Linked DNA regions of Callithrix jacchus. The protein of the gene in region 5 interacts with the protein of the main gene of each other region in a pairwise test. Links are inferred from orthologs where the notes say so. Each region holds a gene or a part of one and is shown on either strand. Other genes may lie near its edges. The genes, in order: ZSCAN9, U2AF2, RNPS1, SNIP1 and SRPK2.

Region 1 (4,089 bases), on a different chromosome or scaffold from region 5:
CTCTTTAGAGAGGACTTCTTGTCTGTGTCTGTGGGCTACCATCTGGGGACAAAAAGACGAGATTTGACTTTTGAAGAAATTAACTGTCTGAAATAAACACTTCCAAGAAAGAAGAACACAGGAAGAAGGTATTTTATTACCAACATCAAGGAGATACAAAGCAGATACAAGGATGCTTGGCATCTCAAAGTAGACCCTTTTCTCCAGCAAATGTCCCTTCCTACCTCATGCTGTGGTTCATCGAGCTCTCTCTCCAGGTCCTCCAGCAAAATCACAGCCTCCTCTCCACTCTCTGGACAGTGTTCCCTCACCCAGCCCTGGAGCTCCTTGGGCAGGATGGACAGAAACTGCTCCAGCACCAGCAGATCCAAAATCTGCTCCTTTGTGCTCACATGTGGCCTCAACCACTGGTAGCAAAGTTCCTGGAGTCGGGTAAGAGCCTCCCTTGGTCCAGGGGTCTCTTGGTAACACAGCTGTCGGAAGTGCCTTCGGAAGATTTCCCTTGCTAGTGGATTACTGCGTTTCAGCCTGGATTCCTGCCTTTGGAAGTGACTTTTTGCTTCCACTTTCATTGTCAGAAGTTCTTCCCATGCCTCAGGAACTTGAATACCCAGGGATAAAACCTCCTTTGAGTTTGTATTCATCTTGACCTTGAACAGCTTAAAAGGTACCCTCCAGCTGGAGCTATGCTTCAAGACACACCAGAGGTGCCTGCCTAAGCAGTAAAAATAATTATTTATACAGAAAAATGGCAATAGCTGATGACAGAAACTGGTAATATAAGCAATTATCACAGACCCTAAAGCTCTTCACTGAAAAGTGGCATAGTAACCAAAGGATGGAAATAATGGTACTATATACATTCATAATGTGCAAAAAGCATAGGCTTTCAAGTTACCCAGATGTGGGTTTTCTTTCTTTTTCTAAAGATGGGGAATTTCACTCTGTTTCCCAGGCTGGAGTGTAGTGGCATAATCATAGCTCACTGCAACCTCAAACTCGTGGGTTTAAGCGATCCTCCCACCTTGGCCTCCCAAAGTGCTCCCGAACTGCTGGGATTACAGGTGTCTGCCACCACGCCTGGCCCAGACCTAGGTTTTATTCTGATCCTAACATTTACTAATTGTGTGACCTTCTGCCAAGTTTTTAAATCATCCTTCAATCTTGGTTTATGTGAAAAATAAATAGCAATAATACCTTACAGAGTTTACGGAGGAAAACAGCCCATGAATTAGGGACTGCACAGGTAACTCAGAAAGGCTGAATAAAAAGTCTGAACTCACTGTATAAACATCAAATTAGAGAAAGAATAAATGGGAATGTTGTTATTGTTGACTAAATGAATGCGCCAACATTTACCTTACTATTTACTTCAGTGTTCTTAATCTTCAAAACAACCATTTAAAGTTGGCATTGCTTTCACTAAATTTACAGAAAGAAAGGCTTAGGTGGACTGTCCTGTGAGCTTTCCACACTGCCCTGGTGCTACTGAAGAGTAACAGTCAACACTGCACCAGTCTACAATATGCTTTCAGGTGCAAGACCGTATTTAATCCTCACAATTACCCACTCAGGTTTTATTATGGTAATTATTTCACTAGATAAGAGATGGAAGCCAGGGAAAGGTAAGTAGACTGCCCAAGGTCAACTTCTTTGTGAGGATAATCTTAAGAAGCCAAAGAAGCCCAAGGGAGAAGTTTTCTCCTCAGACCCAGGCAGCTCCTGAAACCCAGGGGATGTTTCTAAAATGGGTGCCTCCAAAACGTCAGGAAGCAGACCGCGCAGCCGGGGGATCCCAGCCTGACAGGCCCTATGGCAGACGTCCGGGGAATCCGAACTGGGCGTGGAGAGAAGTGCAGCGAGCCCTAGAACATCCACCTTTCACAGGCGCCTCAGTGATCTGTACGTATTGTAAAGTTTGAGAATCAAGGAATTGAGGAAAAGGGAATGAGGAACTGTTACATTCTGCACTTGAAAACCAGTCCATTCAACGCCCCTCAAGTTGCTTTTAGAATCTAGAGGTGAGAGGGTATACAGGGCTCTCCATCTTTTCCTTTCTTTTTTTTTTTTTTGAGCCTTGTTGCCCAGGCTGGAGTGCAATGGCGCGATCTCGGCTCACCGCAACCTCCGCCTCCTGGGCTCAGGCAATTCTCCTGCCTCAGCCTCCTGAGTAGCTGGGATTACAGGCACGCACCACCATGCCCAGCTAATTTTTTGTATTTTTAGTAGAGACGGGGTTTCACCATGTTGACCAGGATAGTCTCGATCTCTTGCCCTCGTGATCCACCCGCCTCGGCCTCCCAAAGTGCTGGGATTACAGGCGTGAGCCACCACGCCCGGCCCAGGGCTCTCCATCTTGCGGACTCCCAAAGCCCTAGTAATCCTTAACTTCCTCTCCCGAGACTTTCTTCCCCGAGTTCTAATCCTGTGGTCGTTACTCACGGAAGTGACCTTTCAGCCTCGCCGTCCTCCCATAACCCTCTCTCGTGTAACGTCCCCACAGTCGGGGACGACCATTATGGACGAGGGAACCCCCGAAGCCGCGCGACACTAACCGCCGCCCCCTCCTCCGGCTCCCACTTCCCGGAGGCTGAAGTTCACTTTCGATACCCCTTTCCCAGCGCCACGTTCCGCGACCCGCCTCCATTCCCGGTCCCCACGGCCAACTCACGAGACCCGGAAGGCGCGAGGAGCGAGCGGGGGTTACCGGTCCGGCGTTGCTAGGAGCTCCGCACGAACAATGGCCTGGCGGGAAAGACGCCGACCCCTCCTGGAGCGCGGACCTGCCAGACGCACTTCCGGGCCGGTCTAGGCCTCCGCGTCTCGATGTCCCGCCTCCGGCGTCCACGTCACCTCTGGCTCCACCCCCATTTTCCTGGCGTCCAGGTCTTCCTTGGCGCGAATCACAGAATCAGAGGGTCTTAAGTGTGGGGCCGCACGCGGGTTTTAAGCGGAAAACGTTGATGAAGCATAGGCCGTTAAGTATTGAAAACGCGGATGTAAAGCATTTCTAAAATGAATGCCTTTCTATGGTTTGAAAAACCCCTCAGTCAATACCCAAATTATTAAAATGTCAGACCCCCCACCCCTCCTTAGTCCCAGTCCCTAAGGCAGCCACTGTCCCCGGTAGCGATGCCGGGCCCGGGTCGCCATCCACCGGGGGAGGAAGAGCGGCCTTCCCCGGAGCTCAGGGCCGCTCTGGAGCGAGAGGCCGCCGGGAGAGCCGGAGCCCCGCGGAGCCCCGCGGAGCCCGCGCCGGGGCTGATTCTCCGCCTGGGAAAGGACCGCGCAGCCGCAGATCCACGGAGCCCTGAACGCCGTCACCTTCTGCTGGTACGAGCAGCTGCTCTGGCGCCTCTGGAGGAAATACGGGGGCCCCTGGCGCCCTGACGAAGCACCGCAGGGCCCCGGCGTGCACACCGGAGACGGCGGGCCGGGGGCCGGCGCCGAGCGGACTGTCCGTGGCCGAGTGCCCGGGGACCCGGGCGTCCGCGCTCACCCCTCGGGCGTCCTGCCGGGCTGGGAGGAGGGAGCCGCGGAGGTGCCGGACCTGGGTGGCGGCGGGGGCTGCGGGCCCCGAGCTGGACGGGGAGGTCAACGGCAGTTCCAGCCCCGACGGCAGGGCTCGCGCCCATTGGAAGCCAGGGCAGCGCCCGGTCCAGCTCCCCCGCCATGCTTTGGCCAATCGCCCAGCCCACCTCCATCCCCTGCCCCGCGCATCCATCACCCTCTCCGTGGACTCCGCCTAGAAGAAGGAGCGTGGGGCGGGGAAGGCGGCCGGCGGCCACCACGGCGGCCTCTCCCAGTCTCTGCCTCCACCCCGCTTCATCCCGGCCCACCCGGCCCCGCAGTCCCAGCTCTTGCCCAATGCCCAGGAGTTCACGTACGAAGGTGGTGGCTCGCCCAGTTTCTTCTCTGATGGCGCCAATGGCCAGGGCAGTGGCACCGCAGCCCACTTTGGAGGCAGTGGGGCTGTCACCGGCAACCGCAGCAGCTTCTACCTGGCCCAGGTATTTGGAGGTGCTGCCAACCGCCTCCTCCTGGAGAAGCCGCCCTTCATTGGAAGGCCTCGGCTACAACCTGAACACC
Region 2 (3,512 bases), on a different chromosome or scaffold from region 5:
AGCACCCCTTCCCCAGGCCCTGTCCCGGATCCTCTCCTTCCCTGGAGAGAGTGCAGCTTACATGGTGGGGGGGAGGGTGAAAGGGCACCTGGGAGGGGCTCTGAGGCCCACTGTTGGTCAGACTGAGGTTACCCTGCCCCCCTCTCCCCTCCCACCTCCCCCAGTCGTTCCCCCCGTCATGAGAAGAAGAAGAAGGTCCGTAAATACTGGGATGTGCCCCCACCAGGCTTCGAGCACATCACCCCGATGCAGTACAAGGCCATGCAAGGTAGGTCTGAGGCCGGGCTGCTCCCAGAGCTGGAGGGTGCAGGCGGGGTTCTCTGCAGGCTGCCTTGTGTGTGCGCGTGGGGCGCTGTGCAGCCTGGGGTTTCTGGCTGGCCTCTGCCCTTTTGAAGCCTCCCTAGAGGAGGAGATGACCAGACACCCATGGTTGATGCGAATGAGACCTCCATCTGGACGCCATTGGGAAACTAGGCTTTGCATGAGCAGCAGTTACTGACTGGGGGCCCCGAGGGTGGGGAGAGGGTTCTAGAGGCTGAGAGCCTGTAGGAGCTTTCTGCTGAGGGGGGAGCTCCTGGTGTGCAGTGTGGGTGGTCACTGAGTGTTCCCCTGATGGGGTTTTATCCTGTTTTTACCCCCTTTCAAGCCGCGGGCCAGATTCCAGCCACTGCTCTTCTCCCCACCATGACCCCTGACGGTCTGGCTGTGACCCCAACGCCGGTGCCCGTGGTCGGGAGCCAGATGACCAGACAGGCCCGGCGCCTCTACGTCGGCAACATCCCCTTTGGCATTACTGAGGTACTGCCCTCCCCCTGCCCCACCCTCTCCCTTGTTCCCTCCCCACTCCTCCCCTTCCCTCCATTCCCTCTCCCCAACCTGCACGGGTCAGACTCTGCTCCTGCAAGACCCCCCGGCCCCCTCCCAGACGGACGGATGGAGTTGAGCCAGCCAGGGGCCGGGCTGGGGGTGGCCCTCCCTCCCTCCTCTTCCCCTCTCCCGTCTCCCCTCCCCCCAACCTCCTCCAGCAACCCAGGGATCAAGCACACACATAATGTACCCACGTGTTGTACCTACGTGTCGGAGAGAGACAGAGAGGGAGACTTGGACACACACACACACACACACACACACACACAGACGCACGCTGCCCCTCAGTTTTTTTCTGACACGCCTCTCGTTCTCTGCCGCCTGTCCCCCATCCTCTCCCCATGTCCCTCCCATGGTCGCTGTTCTTTTATTTTTGATCGCCCCTGACCTCCCCCCTTCCCCACCACTCCTTTTCCCTATCCCTCTCCCCCACCCCTTCCTGTGGCACCCCCTGAGAATCCCGAGATCAAAGAGTTGTTTCCATTTCTCTTTAAAGTGAAATATTGTGGGGCTGAGATCCCTCGTAGCAACAAAAAGTTTGCTACCATCGTTGAAGGCAAGTAAGGTCCATTCTGACTTTCTCAACCTGCACTTTGCTACATTTGATAAACCAGCCCCCGGACTCCAGGGCCAGATTCCTCCACATCACTCTTTTCTCCTCCCCTCCCGCCCTGCCCCTCCTCCCCACACTCCTCCTCTCCCGCCCCTGCACTCTGACCTCCTCCTTGCTCGTCTCCGTCCTGCTCTTCTTTCTGTCCTTGCTCGTCTCTGCCCCTGCCTGCTGCTTCCTTTCTACTTTCCTCCACTCTTCCGTCTGTCTCCACTGGGTGTCCCTTCCTGTGTGCTGTCTCCATCTCTGTTCATGTTTTTCTTCATTTTGCGTTGTCATCATTCCTTCTGCCTTTTCTCGAACAATCTTCTTTTCCCTGGTTTTTCGGGGCCCCTGTGGCTCTCCCCCAACGCCTGTCCACCGCCTGCCCTTGGCCGTCTCTTGTTGCTGCTTCCTCCCCATTTCTCTCTCGCTTCTGTTCCTACTATTGACTTCTACACCCCCACCCATAATCCACTGTTCCTTCCCCGACTCCTCCCTCCCCTCATCCCTCTCCCCTTGCCCCCAAACCCCTCTGTGTCTCCCTCTCTCACCCTTCCCCTCCTCTCTCCACCTCCCTTCCCCCGCCCCCCCCTGTCTCCTATTCCCTCTGCAGGAGGCCATGATGGATTTCTTCAACGCCCAGATGCGCCTCGGGGGGCTGACGCAGGCCCCCGGCAACCCGGTCTTGGCTGTGCAGATTAACCAGGACAAGAATTTTGCCTTTTTGGAGGTGAGCAGGGGGAGCGAGTGGGGTCAAGGCAATGTGTGTGATTGGAGGGCCTGTCCCTCAGGCCTGAGGTGTGGCAAGCTGCCTTGCGCTGTTTCCACCGGACCCTCTGCAGTCCGCTCTCTACCTGGTTGCCAAAGTGAGCCCTGTAATAGCTCTGTAGATCCGATCCTACTGTCTGCCTCCCCTTTGCTTTCTGTGTGACTTGAGAGGCCTGCCTGGCCACACCGACCTTCCCAGAACATACCACGCACCTGCCCACTTGGCTGGAGGTACTTACCCCAGCTAACTGATGTTACTAACTAGTCCTGCATGTCAGTGTTTCTCAAGTGTCTGGAAAAGGGCCATGGTTTTTGATCGACCACTCTTGGTGGACTGATTCTCTGGTGAAATACTGTGAAGGGCATTGGTAGCTTGCTGCAGAGGTTTCCCAGCGCTTCCTCTCGCTCTGTACTCGCCTCGCTGAGGTCCTCTTTCAGGTGCACTGCTCCGGGTATCGGCTGAAACGTCTCCTCACCAGAAAGACTCCAGTACTGTCACCTCCCCACAGCATCCACTTTCAGCCCTTTGCCCCTCCCTCCTCATCACAGCCTGCAATTGTGTGTTTGCCTCTGTGTGTGTTGGGTGCCTGGTGTCTAACTGTGGAGTGTGAACTCCTGGCATCGGGGACGTGCATGTCTGTCGTCCTCCCAGTGCCTGGCCCGGGGCCTGATAAGTTGCATTTGTTGACATGAGTGAAAGGAAAGAAGAAATCCTGATCCTGGAGTATGTGGGGCTGTGCTAGCCCCTTGCCCTCATCCCTCACCACTGCTTTCTCTCTGCAGTTCCGCTCAGTGGACGAGACTACCCAGGCTATGGCCTTTGATGGCATCATCTTCCAGGGCCAGTCGCTAAAGATCCGCAGGCCTCATGACTACCAGCCGCTTCCTGGCATGTCAGAGAACCCCTCCGTCTATGTGCCTGGTGAGTGGGGGATCCATTAAGGGCCCCCATCTCCCTCAACCCTCTTCCCCTGGCCCATCCTTCACTTCAGCCCAGCTGGAGTGGCGTAGGGAGTCATGTAAGTACTGGAACACAGGTTTCTTTGACCTGCTTCCTCCATGTCTCTGTGAGTGGGGTGCTCTCTGCTAATAGAGGAGGTGTCTGGGGCCAGGACGGTAAACTTTGACTTCCTTGAGGACACACAGCTTGTACGTGGCAGTGCCAGGACAGACCAAAGGTGCTGGGGAAGTGAGGGGCTTGTGGCCTGGACCTCTTCCTGGTCTGCGGCTGTGGGACTTCAGAGGGCTCAGTCTGCACGTCGGGGCGGGTGTGCCATCAGCAGTT
Region 3 (4,275 bases), on a different chromosome or scaffold from region 5:
CCCAAACCAGACTGGGCCTGCCAACCTCCACCCACAGGAACACACTGGTGACTTAGTGCCGTGGACCCAGGAGGTGACTCCTCCCCCCAGCGGCCTTTGTCCCCAAGTCCTCGGACATCCCTTAGCCCAGGGTGAAGGGTCAAGGGCACACCTGACCCTTGGACAGGGCCAGAGGGAGTGGGTCTAGCCAGGAAGTCAGCAGGAACTAGCGTCCCACACAGGAAGGAGGGCAGTGATAGCAGACCCCGTCCTGGCTGTCTGTCCATCCATCCGCCCACTCACTCCAGGTCGCCCAGCTGCACCCAGCCCCTTTGCTCCGACATCGAAAGTCTCCAAGTCATGCCGGTTCTCTCCTCCCAAAGATCTGCTTGGATCTGTTCCCTTCTCCCATCCTTGCTGCCACGAAGCTGTTCAAAGTCCGAAGCTGAGCGCACCGTCAACCCCTCCACAAACAATCACAGGGCAACGACTGCCCGCCAGGCGCAGCAGTGAACACAACCTGCCCTCTCCGTCTGGGGCGCCAGTGCGGAGCCTCCCGCCTGTGTCTGGGCCTGCGCCCCTACGGCGTCACCCTCTCCCATGTCCCAGCCAGAGGCGCCGCCACCTCTGGGCTCTCCCTGCCGGGACCCCGCACCCGCAGCTGAATGAAGCCTCGGCGCTGCGCCGTTCACACGCTCCGTGCTGCCGCCGCGAAGCTCGCGCGGAACCTTCCCCGCTTCCAGAGAACCTCGGCCCCTGCTGTTACCCCGTCACACGCACCGTTCCTCTCGGGTCTCCGCGGCAGGGCCACCACCCCCAGACGCCCCCCTGTGCACCCCATCTCCTACCCTCAAACTCGTCGCTCCTCCTGCCCACACTGCCCAGCTGCCGCGCCCACCCGGCGGAGCTCCACCTGCGTGGAGGCCGCGTCCACGCGGGCACCCCAAACGCCACCGGTAGGTCTGGAGCACGCGAACGCACGCCCGGCCCCGGCCCATCTCTCCGAGCTGCCTCCACCCTGCGGGTCCCCACGTCGCGCCAAGCAAAGCCGCAGAGCCCGCGCGCCTTTCTTGTACGACTACCCCGCCGCCGCCGCCGCGCGGCCGGGCCCGGGGCCCAGCGTCCGGTGTCGGGGGCCGGAGGAGGCCTAGGCGGGCCCAGAGCACCCGCGCAAGGAAAGGGACTGGGCACGGCCGCGTTAACCCCCTCCGCGCCAGACGACGAGCCTCGGTCATCGCGCGGCCCTACCAGCCTCAGCAGGCTACCCCTGTGCCCGCTGCAGCAAGCGTGCAACCGGCCCGGCCAGTCACAGACTCCTCCGGCCGGGACACACCGCCGGCGGGGAGACACCGCGAGCGCTCCAACGCGGCTCACACACGCCGCCTTGACTCTCTGAACACTTCACCGCTCGCGCCCATTGGCCCAGGCATTTACGTCATCGCTGCGCGCCGGACGGCAGCGTCTTCCCGCTCCTTAACTCTGACGTCAGAGCGGAGCCGGCTTGAGCGGCTGAGAAAGGCAGGAGGAGGTGTCGGCGGCGGGAAGATGTAAGTGGGGCGGAATCCGACCGCATCCGAGCTTTAGGGGTTGCCAGTCAGGCCCGGCAGGAAGCATCGTGAAGCTGGTCCACTCCCCAGCCCCGCAGTGCGGCGGCAGCATGGCGGCGCGGTGCGGACTCTAAAAAGAAAGAGTGTAGCCCGGGGTGGGCGGGGTGGGAGGTGTCGTGGCCGTGGCCCGGAAGTGGTCGGGGCCGCGGCGGACGGAAGGGCGCCTCTGCTTCGTCCGTTCGGCGGCGGCCCAGCCAGGCCCGTGGGACTCTGAGCAGCGGGGAGCGCGGCTTCCGCCCTTGGGGCCCTCCTGCCGTGCCGGAGACCCAGGCCCCCAACGCCAGGCCCTGCCCTAGAAGCGCTCGCGGCCCGGCGCCTGGACAAGGGAGTTGTGAGTGAACGCGGACGGGGAGCGGCGAGGTCGGCGTGTCGGGCCGGTGCCGGCGGGCGCGGAGTTTCTTTGTGGGATACAGTGGAAGGCTGGCCGATCCCCCCATCGGAGGCATTGATTCAAACATGCACTCCGCGAACGTTTCCCGGGCTCCCGTGTGCAGTTCTCGGCGCTAGGCCTGGGGGATGTGGCCCGCTATGGACCGAGCACGGTGGCCTGGCCCCGTTTGATGGGTTAACCCCGGAGGGGTGGATACGGGAAGGTTAAGGTTGCTGGAGGAGAAACGTGGAGTAGGCTTTTTGTCTTGATTTCGCATGAACTGTGCCTGAAATGTACTTTTAAATGGGGAAGGCGCTCTGAAGATTTGTGCCGAAACGCCCTCTCCTCGAGATTTAACTAACTGTTCTCTCCTCTCTCTGGCTGTTGGACGCGCACCTTTCCGGAGGATGGGGGAGGTAACCGAGGTCCTGAGCCGGTACCTGAACTTGTGTGAACAGAGAACCTCAACCTTTGCTTTCTAGCATTCGACCGCACCCAGCAAAGCGTCCGCTTTCTCAGTGGTTCTTAGAGTGCTTAAGAACGGTGCTCCTTGATCTCACGAAGCGAATCAAAGTAGCGGTGTTTGATTTCACAGAGTACATTTGGGCAGATCTTTAGGACTAGGGGGTGGGGCTGGAATATGCGGGTGTGACCTGCACTCTAGATCTGTGCTGTCCAGTGAGGTAGCCATTGGCCCCACGTGGCTACTGAGCATGTTGAAATACAGCAGCTAATCAAAACTGAGATGTTAAAACACACCCCAAATTTAGAAGACTTACTCTGAACAACAACAAAAAAAGAAACCTTTAGATTTTTATGTTGATTATTTGATGGAAAAGTATTTTGGATTTGTGTCAAATGTTAATTAATTTCACCCATTTTTGTGACGTGGCTACTAAGGAATTTGAGATTCTGCTTGTGGCTCCTCACACTATTTCTGTTGGACAGTGCTGCTGCAGATGATCCTAAGGTGGGTGGGTGCGGGAGCCCTGCAGAGAGTTCAGAAATTACGTGGGACTTTGGAGACAAGTGTCTGGGGGGGGGGAAGGAGCCTCTGGACGTGAAGATAAAACCCTTGCTTCTCACATGTATTGAGCCTTTGATTAATGCCCTGCATAACTGTAAGGTTGGAACTGTAGTTGTCTCCATATTGATGATGAGAAACTTGAAAAACGATAAGTGACCTGTTCAAAATTGCACAGTAAAACTTCAAATCAAACCCAGGCCTCCTGGCTCCAGACTGGGAATTATACTCTGATACTCACTGTTTGTCCAAGGACACCAGCCATACCGGGCACTGCCTGCTGGGTGTCTGCAGAACATCACTGTTCTGAGGCAAAACACTATGCCCTGGACAAGAGCAGCAAAGGTGATGTTCGGCCCTCCATGACTCATTTGACAGCTCAAAGCCAGGTGCTCTTCTTTCTTGGTCAGAACACGTTTTCAGCACTGGCATTTCTGCATGGGGAAACCAGAACCCCATTAGTGTGCTGTGCCCTGCTTACGTACAGGCTGTTGGTTGGAGAAGGTGAGACAGAAGTAGCTGAGACTCACATCCTGAGAGCTTTACTTAAAAACTCATGCAGCTTGTGCAGACCTGGCTGGAAATACTGAAGGCAGCAGTCCCTCTGAAATAGAGCCCATAGCTTATTAGCAGTTTGTTTTGAGTAATTTGTTACCATTATTTGAGCACACGCTGCAGTCCAGGCGTTTTGCTAAACTTAAACGTAGGTAGTCTTACGTGGTAGGTAGTCTCTCCCGAAACCTCAGTGCCTACTTTTTTTCTTCAACATCTTATTTTTGAAAAGTTTAAGCACATAGGAAGGTTGAATTATACAGTTAATGCCCACAAAAACCACTTGAGGGCTGGGAGCGGTGGCTTATGCCTGTAATTACAGCACTTTTGGGAGGCCAAGGTGGGCTGATCACGAAGTTAGGAGTTTGAGACCAGGCTGGCCAGTATGGTGAAACCCTGTCTCTACTAAAAACACAAAAATTAGCCAGGCGTGGTGGCACACACCTTTAGTCCCAGCTACTCAGGAAGCTGAGGCAGAAGAATCACCTACACCCAGGAGACAGAGGTTGCAGTGAGCTGAGATCGTGCCAGTGTACTCCAGCCTGGTGACTCCGTCTCGAAAAAAACCCTTAAAAGTTTGTTACATTTCTGCTTTATTTGAAGTAAATTGCACACTTGCATGTGTTTTCCCTACACACTCAGTATGCATATTCCTAAAGTACAGTGTTTGCAATCACTGCTTTTTAAATGTCCATGCGGTACATTTTATCTGTTTGCATTTGGGTGTTAAGTGTTTTGATGCT
Region 4 (4,103 bases), on a different chromosome or scaffold from region 5:
AGGCTGCTGCCACTGTACTTAGCTGTAAATAGCTCTTTTGACAGTATAAGGGTCTCTGGTCAGGTGTGATTACATTATTGGGAGGAGAAGAAAGAAACAATTATTCCTTTTGGTAGTCTGGATATTAGACAGATAAAGTCCTGTGCTTTGGGAGAGACGGTGGATTCAAGGAAGGAACATCGAGGCTTCTTCAGTTCAGCAAGTCAATGTGCCTTATTTTGGGGTTTCAGTTTCTGAGCCCCAACAGCATTGCAGAAAGTTTATTAAACAGAAGAGGAAACGCTAATGATTTGACCATGGGTTCTCATCTCTGATTGCATTTCCATTTCTTTCTCCCTTCTATTTCCAAATGTAAATGTAATTACAGTTTGTGCACAATTTTGTATCCTGCTTTATCGTTAACATGTTTTAGAGTTTGTAAATGGTTTACTAATGGCCACATAACACCCATTAATTTGGCTAACTTCCCTATTGCTGAGCATTTACATTGTTTTCACGTTTTGTAATTACTAATAACGTGGCAACAAACAGCCTTGAGAAGTTTGCTTTTTTCCAGGTTTTTTTTTTTTTTTTGTGATGTCTCTGTCACCCAGGCTGAAGTGCTGTGGTGCAATCCCCGCACGCTGCAACCTACGCCTCCTGGGTTCAAGCGATTCTCTTGCCTCAGCCTCCTAAATAGCTGGGATTATAGGTTTGCACCACCATACCAGGCTAATTTTTGTATTTTTAGTAGAGACAGGGTTTCACCGTGTTGGCCAGGCTGGTCTCGAACCCCCGACCTCAAGTGATCCGCCTGCCTCAGCCTACGAAAGTGCTGGCGTGAGCCACCACGCCCAGCCCTGCTCTTTTTTTTTTTTTTTTTTGAGACGGTTTCGTTCTTGTAGCCCAGACTGGAGTGCGGTGACGCAATCAGCTCACTGCAACTGCAACCTCCGCCTCCCGGGTGCATGCGATTCTCCTGCCTCAGCCTCCCGAGTAGCTGGGATTACAGGCGCACGCCCCCATGCCCAGCTAATTGTTTTGTATCATTAGTAGAGACGGGGTTTCACCGTGTTGGCGAGGATGCTCGCCTGACCTCAGGTGATCCGCCAGCCTCGGCCTCCCAAAGTGCTGGGATTACAGACGTGAGCCCCCGCGCCAGGCCAGAAGTTTGTTTTTGAAACCCGAAACTCCTGCCACCAAACCTAGTCACTGACCACGCTCACTGGGGAGTCGTCACCTGTTTAATCTCTCTGCCGCGAAGATATATGGGAACCGGGGCACCCCGGAAGCGGAAATCCAGGAGTCAAACACGTCATTTCCTTCAGCTAGAGGAGCTCAACGGATCTGTTTTCTTTCGCTCAGGCAAAATCACAGAATGAAGGCGGTGAAGAGCGAACGGGAGCGAGGGAGCCGGCGAAGACACCGGGACGTGGATGTGGTGCTGCCGGCGACGGTGGTGGTGAAGCAGGAGCGTCTCAGCCCGGAAGCCGCCCCTCCCGCCCACCGTCGTCCGGACCACTCCGGCGGTAGCCCTTCCCCGCCGGCCAGCGAGCCGAGCCGCCCGGGCCACCGCGGGAACCGAGCCCGAGGAGTTAGCCGGTAAGTGGGGGAGCAGCCCAGGATGGACCTAGGGTTGGGCTCATTCAGAAAGGCGGGCAGGGCTAGCGTCCGAAACGGGTTTTGAATGCTGGGCGCAGCTAGCCCGGACCTAATCCAGAGGCGGTTGAGAGTGATCCAGTCGTGCCTGTGTTATGCTTGCTCAGTCACTTGCATGATAGCTCGGTGTTCAACGCCTAATGCCTAACTGGCAGGATCCCGTCCCTCCATTCTTGTGTCCCCAGCACTTTGCAAAGTGTGGCTCAGCAGGTAGCACAGATAATCTGTTAAATTGGAATGAGATTCTCCTCATCCCGAATGGAGGAATGGAGTGCGGGCGTTGTCTTTACAATTACCTGCCCAAAAAGTTTTCACGTCGACAGAAACTAAAAAAAAAAGTTCACATAGATTTATGCGTTCCTTCAGCGTAGTTTTACTGAGTGCCTGTTAAGTGTTAAAAGACTGCCCTAGGTTTTGGGGCTGCAAGGGTGATTCAGTTAGATGGTCTTCACCGTTTCCAAATCTAGCCCTGAGACAGACAATAACAAGAAATAAATAAAGTGGGTTTCAGTTAGTAACAAGTATTATTGACAGGTTAAAACAGTACTGTGATAGTGAGAGATTGGAGAGAAGAGGGAGGAGGCCTCTAAAGAGGTGCCATTTGAACTGCGACCTGACTGATAGGAATGATCCAGCCTCTGAAAGATCCAGGCAGAGGAAACAACATGTGCAAAGCACTTGAAGTAGAATGAATCATGATTGAAATGGGAAAAAGCCAGTGTCAGTGGAGTATAGTGGTCAAGCAGGTGGGTGGTAGGAATGAGATGGTATAGGCAGGAAGCAGAACCACAGGATGGATAAATTGTTATTGATGGTAGGGGTGTTGGTAGTGAGGGGTAAAGAGTCAAAGGTGACTTCTGGATGGTGATGCCAATTAACAAGATGGCAAAGAGTAGGAGAGGAAAGGTTTTTGAAGGCTTGGGAACTAAGAGCTATGTTATCTAAGTGAGAAGGTTCAGTAGAGAGTTGTCTTTGTGAGTGTGGAATGCGAGGGAGATGTTAGGGCTAGGAAAGTGAACCTCGTGACTATAATGTGTCTGTCAGAGACCTTCACAAATGTGGTGTTTGTGTTAGTATGTAAGCCTGATACTGGAAGCTAATTTTTATGGGGGAAGGGAAATTGAGTAAAATCCTGTATGTACCATGCTTTGTATAGGTCCCCACCCAAAAAGAAAAACAAGTCCTCAGGGAGAAGAAGCAAGTCTCCTCGGAGTAAGAGGACCCGAAGTCCTCACCACTCAACAGTCAAAGTGAAGCAGGTAAGTGGATTGGGGTGTTTTGATGTTGGGGCCACATAGAGAGCCTTTTCCTATCATAGCTAGAGAGGGCTGTGTATGTGTGTTGTGTGTGTGTGTGCACGCACACTCGCCTACATTTCTACTTGTACTTCCAATGGGCTTTTCTGAAAATTGGGTATATTTCTTTTTTTCTGCTTGTTTGCTGAAATTCACCTTTTTATTTTGAGATTATTGTTGGTTCACATGCAGTTGTCAGAAATAATTCAGAGAGATATACTCTGCCTGGTTTCTCCCAGTGGTAACATCTATTCATAACAGAACTGTGGTACAGCATCACCATCAGAATATTGACATCAGTATAGTCAAGATAACATTTCCTTCACCACAAGGAATACCTCCTGTTCTCCTTTTGTAGCCACACCCACTCATCTCCCACCTTTATCATTCTTTAACTTCTGGCAACTTCTAATCTGTTCTTCATTTCTGTAATGTTTTCATTTCAAGAATATTACATAAATGGAATCATACAATGTGTAACCTAATTTAGGATTGTCTTTTTTTCACTCAGCAGAATCCTTCAGAGATTGATTCAGGTTGCATCTCTCAGTAGTTTGTTCCATTTTATTTCTGAGTGATATCCAATAGCATGGATTTAGCCACTCACTCATTAAAGAACATCTGGCTTGTTTCCATTTTTTGGCTATTACACATAAAGCTGCTATATAGACATTTGTGTATAGGATTATATGCGAACATAAGAGTTCATTTCTCTGGGATAAATGCTCAGAAGTGCAATTGCTGGATTGTATGGTAGTTGCAGGTTTAATTTTTTTAAGCAATTACCAGACTGTTTTCCAGAGTGGCTGTATTAGTTTACTAGGGCCACCATAATGAAATGCCATAGAGTACGTGGTTTAAACAACAGAAATTCATTTTCTTGTAATTCTGGAGGCTAGAAGTCAAAGATGAGGATGTTAGCAGGTCTGGATTCTCCTGAAAAACATCCTCTCTCCTTGGCTTGTAGATGGCTACCTTTTTACTACATCTTCACATGATCTTTCTCCTGTCCTGGTGTCTTTTCTCAGCCATATTGAATTAGGGCCCTACGCTCATTTTAACTTAATCAGCTCTGTAAAGACCTCATCTCCAAATACGGCTATTAATACATTCTGAGGTACTTGCGTTTGGTACTTCAACAAGCTAATTTTGGAGGGCACAATTTAGTTC
Region 5 (3,512 bases):
GGAAACTGTGAGCAGGGGAATGCACTGATTGGATGAGCATACTGCAAAGATATTCCAGTAGCACCATGGAAAGGCAGGCTGAAAAGCAGGTGGGGAGAAAAGCTGGAGACAACACAAAGCCAAGAGACCAGTAAGGAGCCTCTGTAACAGCACAGACAAGCAATAACAGTGCCCACTAAGGGCCAAGGCATGGGGTCCCCTACTTAGGAGGTACAACTGGTAAAATGCGATGATTTACTGGATGTGAGAGAAAAAAAGGAAACATCATGGTCATCAAGTTTCTTACTGGAGCAACAAGAAACAGTGGTAACAAGTATAAGAAATACAGCATGTTTAGCAGGTTGGCAGGGAAAGTTGTATTATGGTTTTTCAATATATTACATGTTATTTATCTACCCTTTCCATTTACCTGTTTTATTTAATTCAGTGCTATTAACAACCCAAGAGTTAGCTATTTCTTTCCTTTGATTGAGGAATAAATCAAGGCTCAGAAAGGACAAGAAACCAAAATTCCACAGTTACTAAGTTTTGAGCTGGGATTTAATCTGGTATGCAGGTGCCTCTCAGTGTCTGCAAGGGGACTGGTTCCAGGAAACCCTGAGAATACCAAAATCCACAGATGCTCAAGCTCTGATATAAAATGGTGTAGTCTTTGCATATAACCTACATACATCTTCCTATATACTTCAGTTGATCTCTAGTTATTTATAGTACCTGCTACAATGTAAATGGTACATAAGTAATTGCTTTAATGTGTTGTTTAGGGAATAATGACAAGGGAGAAAAGTGTGTATATGTTCAAAACAGACACGGGTTTTTTTTCTGCTCCAACTATTTCCCAACTGAGGTTGGCTGAACACACAGATGTGAAATGCACAGATGTAAAACCCATGGATGTGGAAGGCTGACTGTACTTGAAGCCACTCCAGCCCAAGCTAAGACTTGCAAAATAAGTAAGAATAAAAAACGTACTGTGGGCTGATCATGGTGGCTCATGCCTGTAATACCATTAACTTTGGGAGGCTGAGGCACATGGATCACCTAAGGTCAGGCATTCGAGACCAGCCTGGGCAACATGGTGAAGTCCTGTCTCTACTAAAAATACAAAAATTAGTTGGTCATGGTGGCAGGCGCCTGTAATCCCAGCTACTCAGGAAACTGAGGCAGAAGAATTGCTTAAGTCCAGGAGGTGGAGGTTGCAGTGAGCCGAGATTGCATCACTGTACTCCAGCTTGGGCATCAGAGTGGGGGGTGGGGGGTTGGGGGTGGGGAAGGGAGGGAGAAAAGGAAGGAAGAAGGAAAGGAGGGAGGGAAGGAAGGAAGGAGACAGGGAGGTGAGGGGAGAGGATAGGGGAGGGAGGGAAGGGAGAGAGAGAAAGAAAAAGGAAAGAAAAAAGGGAGGGGAGGGGAAAAGGAAAATGAAAGGAGAAAGAAGGAGAGAGGGAGGGAGGGAGGGAAGAAAGGAAAGGAAGGAAGGAGGGAAGGAGGGGCACAGAGAGAAAGAAAAGAAGAAAAGGAAAAGGAAAGGGAAAAGGAAAAAGGAAGGAAGGAAGGGGAAGAGGAAGAGGAAGAGGAAAGGGTAAGGAAAAGGACAGGACAGGATGAAAGAAAACAAAGGAAGGAAAGAAGGAGAAGGAAGGGAGGGAGGGAGGAAAGGAAGTTTGTAAATTACTTTCTATATGAAACTTGTGGCTCACAGCTGTAATCCTAGCATTTTGGGAGGTTGAGATAGGCAGATCGTGAGGTCAGGAGTTCGAGACCTGCCTGGCCAACATGGTGAAACCCTGTCTCCACTAAAAATGCAAAAATTGGCCAGATGTGGTGGCACATGCCTTTAGTCCCAGCTACTCAGGAGGATGAGACAGGAAAATCGCTTGAACCGTGGAGACAGAGGTTGCAGTGAGCCGAGATCCCACCACTGCACTCCAGCCTGGGCGACAGACCAAGACTCTATCTCAAAAAAATAAAAACTTTCACTAAGAGAAAAATTTAACTGCAACAGCAACAATAAATCTGGATAAGGTACATCTCACTACTGCCCTTTCTCAGAAATTAACCTACACTCTATGTAAGCACCTTCAAACACTCCCTATAAAGGGGAATAGGAGCTGACCACGTCCAGCCAAGTGAAGAAAACACATCCTTAGGAGGATTCATCATAGCCAGTTCTTAACAAAGCCAGCTCACTCCTTATCGTGCAATTCCAGCCTGCTGGAACCAAGGGGCTGCAGAATGTCTTGGACTGTTGGCAGGGGTGGCTCATCAATTACTCACTGTGTGTTAAACAGTCTTGACAGTAGAGGGAGCCCAGGAGGTTTCAGAGCTTTCCCACCTTGAGCCAGAATGGAAACCAACTGAGTTACCCAGTTTTCACACACCAGAGTCACTTGGCATTCACTCCCAAAATAAGGGTCTAAATAAGTCAAGGCTTCTTAGGTAGACAAGAACACAAGAGCCAATCTATCATCTGTCATCACATTTAAATCCATGCCAATTCCTTGAAATTCACAATCCTGGGTGGGTTATCAATAACAGGGTCCTATAATCAGGAACAACTATGAAAAGACAATATGACACTTCTTTCCCAACAGAGCCAAAGAGCAGGCATACTTTTCTTGAATAGAAAAACAAAACAAAAACGAAATACAATCATAACAGATGCAAGATACAAATTATACTACACATTCTAGAAAGCTACAGGTGTAAGTTGCTAAAACTGGAAGGTTTCTGCAAATGATGCTGCTGACTGAATATATTAAAAATGACAACTGGTCAGAAATAAGATTTGGTATCAGAGAGCGAGAGATAGCCTAGTGGCACAGAATGTACATTTAAATCACATTACTTGTTCCTGAGTATAAAAGTAATAAAAATGATTAGTGCAAGCATATAGGGGTTGGTCACTTTCAGCCAATTCCTTCATAGCATTTGTTAAAGGCACACCCCGGGAGTCAGTGATGGCAGACAGCTGATGAGAAGAACACTTACCTTTTGGCAAATCCCCAGTACTGGAGGCTGAAACCGTCCTGCTTCTGTCATGGGAAGGACTGCTTTCCTCTTGCTCAGTAAGTGGTGATCCCTCAGAAAGCACAGAACCGCAGGCCACAGGTTCTAAGGATCCAGAGAACAATGAGGTGGAAAACTCTGGAAACTGTGACTCGGGAATTTTATGCCGTCCATTTGGCAATTCACCATTGAATTGTTCATAGGAGCTGCTATATGTGTAATCACTTTCTGCATTTGGCTCATCAAGATTATATTCCTCAGGATTTGGGCAATCTTCTTCATCATCCTCTTCATCGTCCAGTTGCTGCTCCAATAAGAACGGGCCATTCTCAATATGGCCATTGGTTTTAGGTGATTCTATCCACGTAGGGTCTATGTTTGCAAGTTCCTGATCTACATCATCATCATCTTTTTCAATGTTTTCTTTCTCAGTGTCTTCTTTCTCTTCCTGGTCCTCGGCTTCACCTTAAGAAGTTGATGGGTCAAGAATTAGAACTTGTTACTCT

The links.
Region 1: the proteins of SRPK2 (region 5) and ZSCAN9 interact in binary tests that used the Homo sapiens proteins (3 or more experiments, as listed by UniProt). The two-hybrid records come from large-scale screens. The link is inferred for Callithrix jacchus from reciprocal best matches to the Homo sapiens genes SRPK2 and ZSCAN9.
Region 2: the proteins of SRPK2 (region 5) and U2AF2 interact in binary tests that used the Homo sapiens proteins (3 or more experiments, as listed by UniProt). The link is inferred for Callithrix jacchus from reciprocal best matches to the Homo sapiens genes SRPK2 and U2AF2.
Region 3: the proteins of SRPK2 (region 5) and RNPS1 interact in binary tests that used the Homo sapiens proteins (3 or more experiments, as listed by UniProt). The link is inferred for Callithrix jacchus from reciprocal best matches to the Homo sapiens genes SRPK2 and RNPS1.
Region 4: the proteins of SRPK2 (region 5) and SNIP1 interact in binary tests that used the Homo sapiens proteins (3 or more experiments, as listed by UniProt). The link is inferred for Callithrix jacchus from reciprocal best matches to the Homo sapiens genes SRPK2 and SNIP1.

Annotation. Positions count from the first base shown.
Region 1 is NC_133505.1:2,889,514-2,893,602, forward strand, and holds the start of ZSCAN9 (zinc finger and SCAN domain-containing protein 9), read right to left. Parts: upstream 2,801-4,089; 5' UTR 2,648-2,800; coding exon 2,443-2,647; intron 716-2,442; coding exon 225-715; intron 43-224; coding exon 1-42. UniProt on the Homo sapiens protein: May be involved in transcriptional regulation.
Region 2 is NC_133523.1:48,525,308-48,528,819, forward strand, and holds part of U2AF2 (splicing factor U2AF 65 kDa subunit), read left to right. Parts: intron 1-164; coding exon 165-268; intron 269-646; coding exon 647-798; intron 799-2,072; coding exon 2,073-2,189; intron 2,190-3,010; coding exon 3,011-3,149; intron 3,150-3,512. UniProt on the Homo sapiens protein: Plays a role in pre-mRNA splicing and 3'-end processing. By recruiting PRPF19 and the PRP19C/Prp19 complex/NTC/Nineteen complex to the RNA polymerase II C-terminal domain (CTD), and thereby pre-mRNA, may couple transcription to splicing.
Region 3 is NC_133513.1:4,501,448-4,505,722, forward strand, and holds the start of RNPS1 (RNA-binding protein with serine-rich domain 1), read left to right. Parts: upstream 1-1,466; 5' UTR 1,467-1,524; coding exon of another isoform or gene 1,525-1,526; exon of another isoform or gene 1,527-4,107; intron 4,108-4,275. Other genes in the region: uncharacterized protein LOC144578542, read left to right, coding at 188-1,375. UniProt on the Homo sapiens protein: Part of pre- and post-splicing multiprotein mRNP complexes. Auxiliary component of the splicing-dependent multiprotein exon junction complex (EJC) deposited at splice junction on mRNAs.
Region 4 is NC_133508.1:74,105,679-74,109,781, reverse strand, and holds the start of SNIP1 (smad nuclear-interacting protein 1), read left to right. Parts: upstream 1-1,293; 5' UTR 1,294-1,357; coding exon 1,358-1,581; intron 1,582-2,794; coding exon 2,795-2,897; intron 2,898-4,103. UniProt on the Homo sapiens protein: Required for pre-mRNA splicing as component of the spliceosome. As a component of the minor spliceosome, involved in the splicing of U12-type introns in pre-mRNAs. Down-regulates NF-kappa-B signaling by competing with RELA for CREBBP/EP300 binding.
Region 5 is NC_133512.1:75,522,106-75,525,617, forward strand, and holds part of SRPK2 (SRSF protein kinase 2), read right to left. Parts: intron 3,472-3,512; coding exon 2,989-3,471; intron 1-2,988. UniProt on the Homo sapiens protein: Serine/arginine-rich protein-specific kinase which specifically phosphorylates its substrates at serine residues located in regions rich in arginine/serine dipeptides, known as RS domains and is involved in the phosphorylation of SR splicing factors and the regulation of splicing.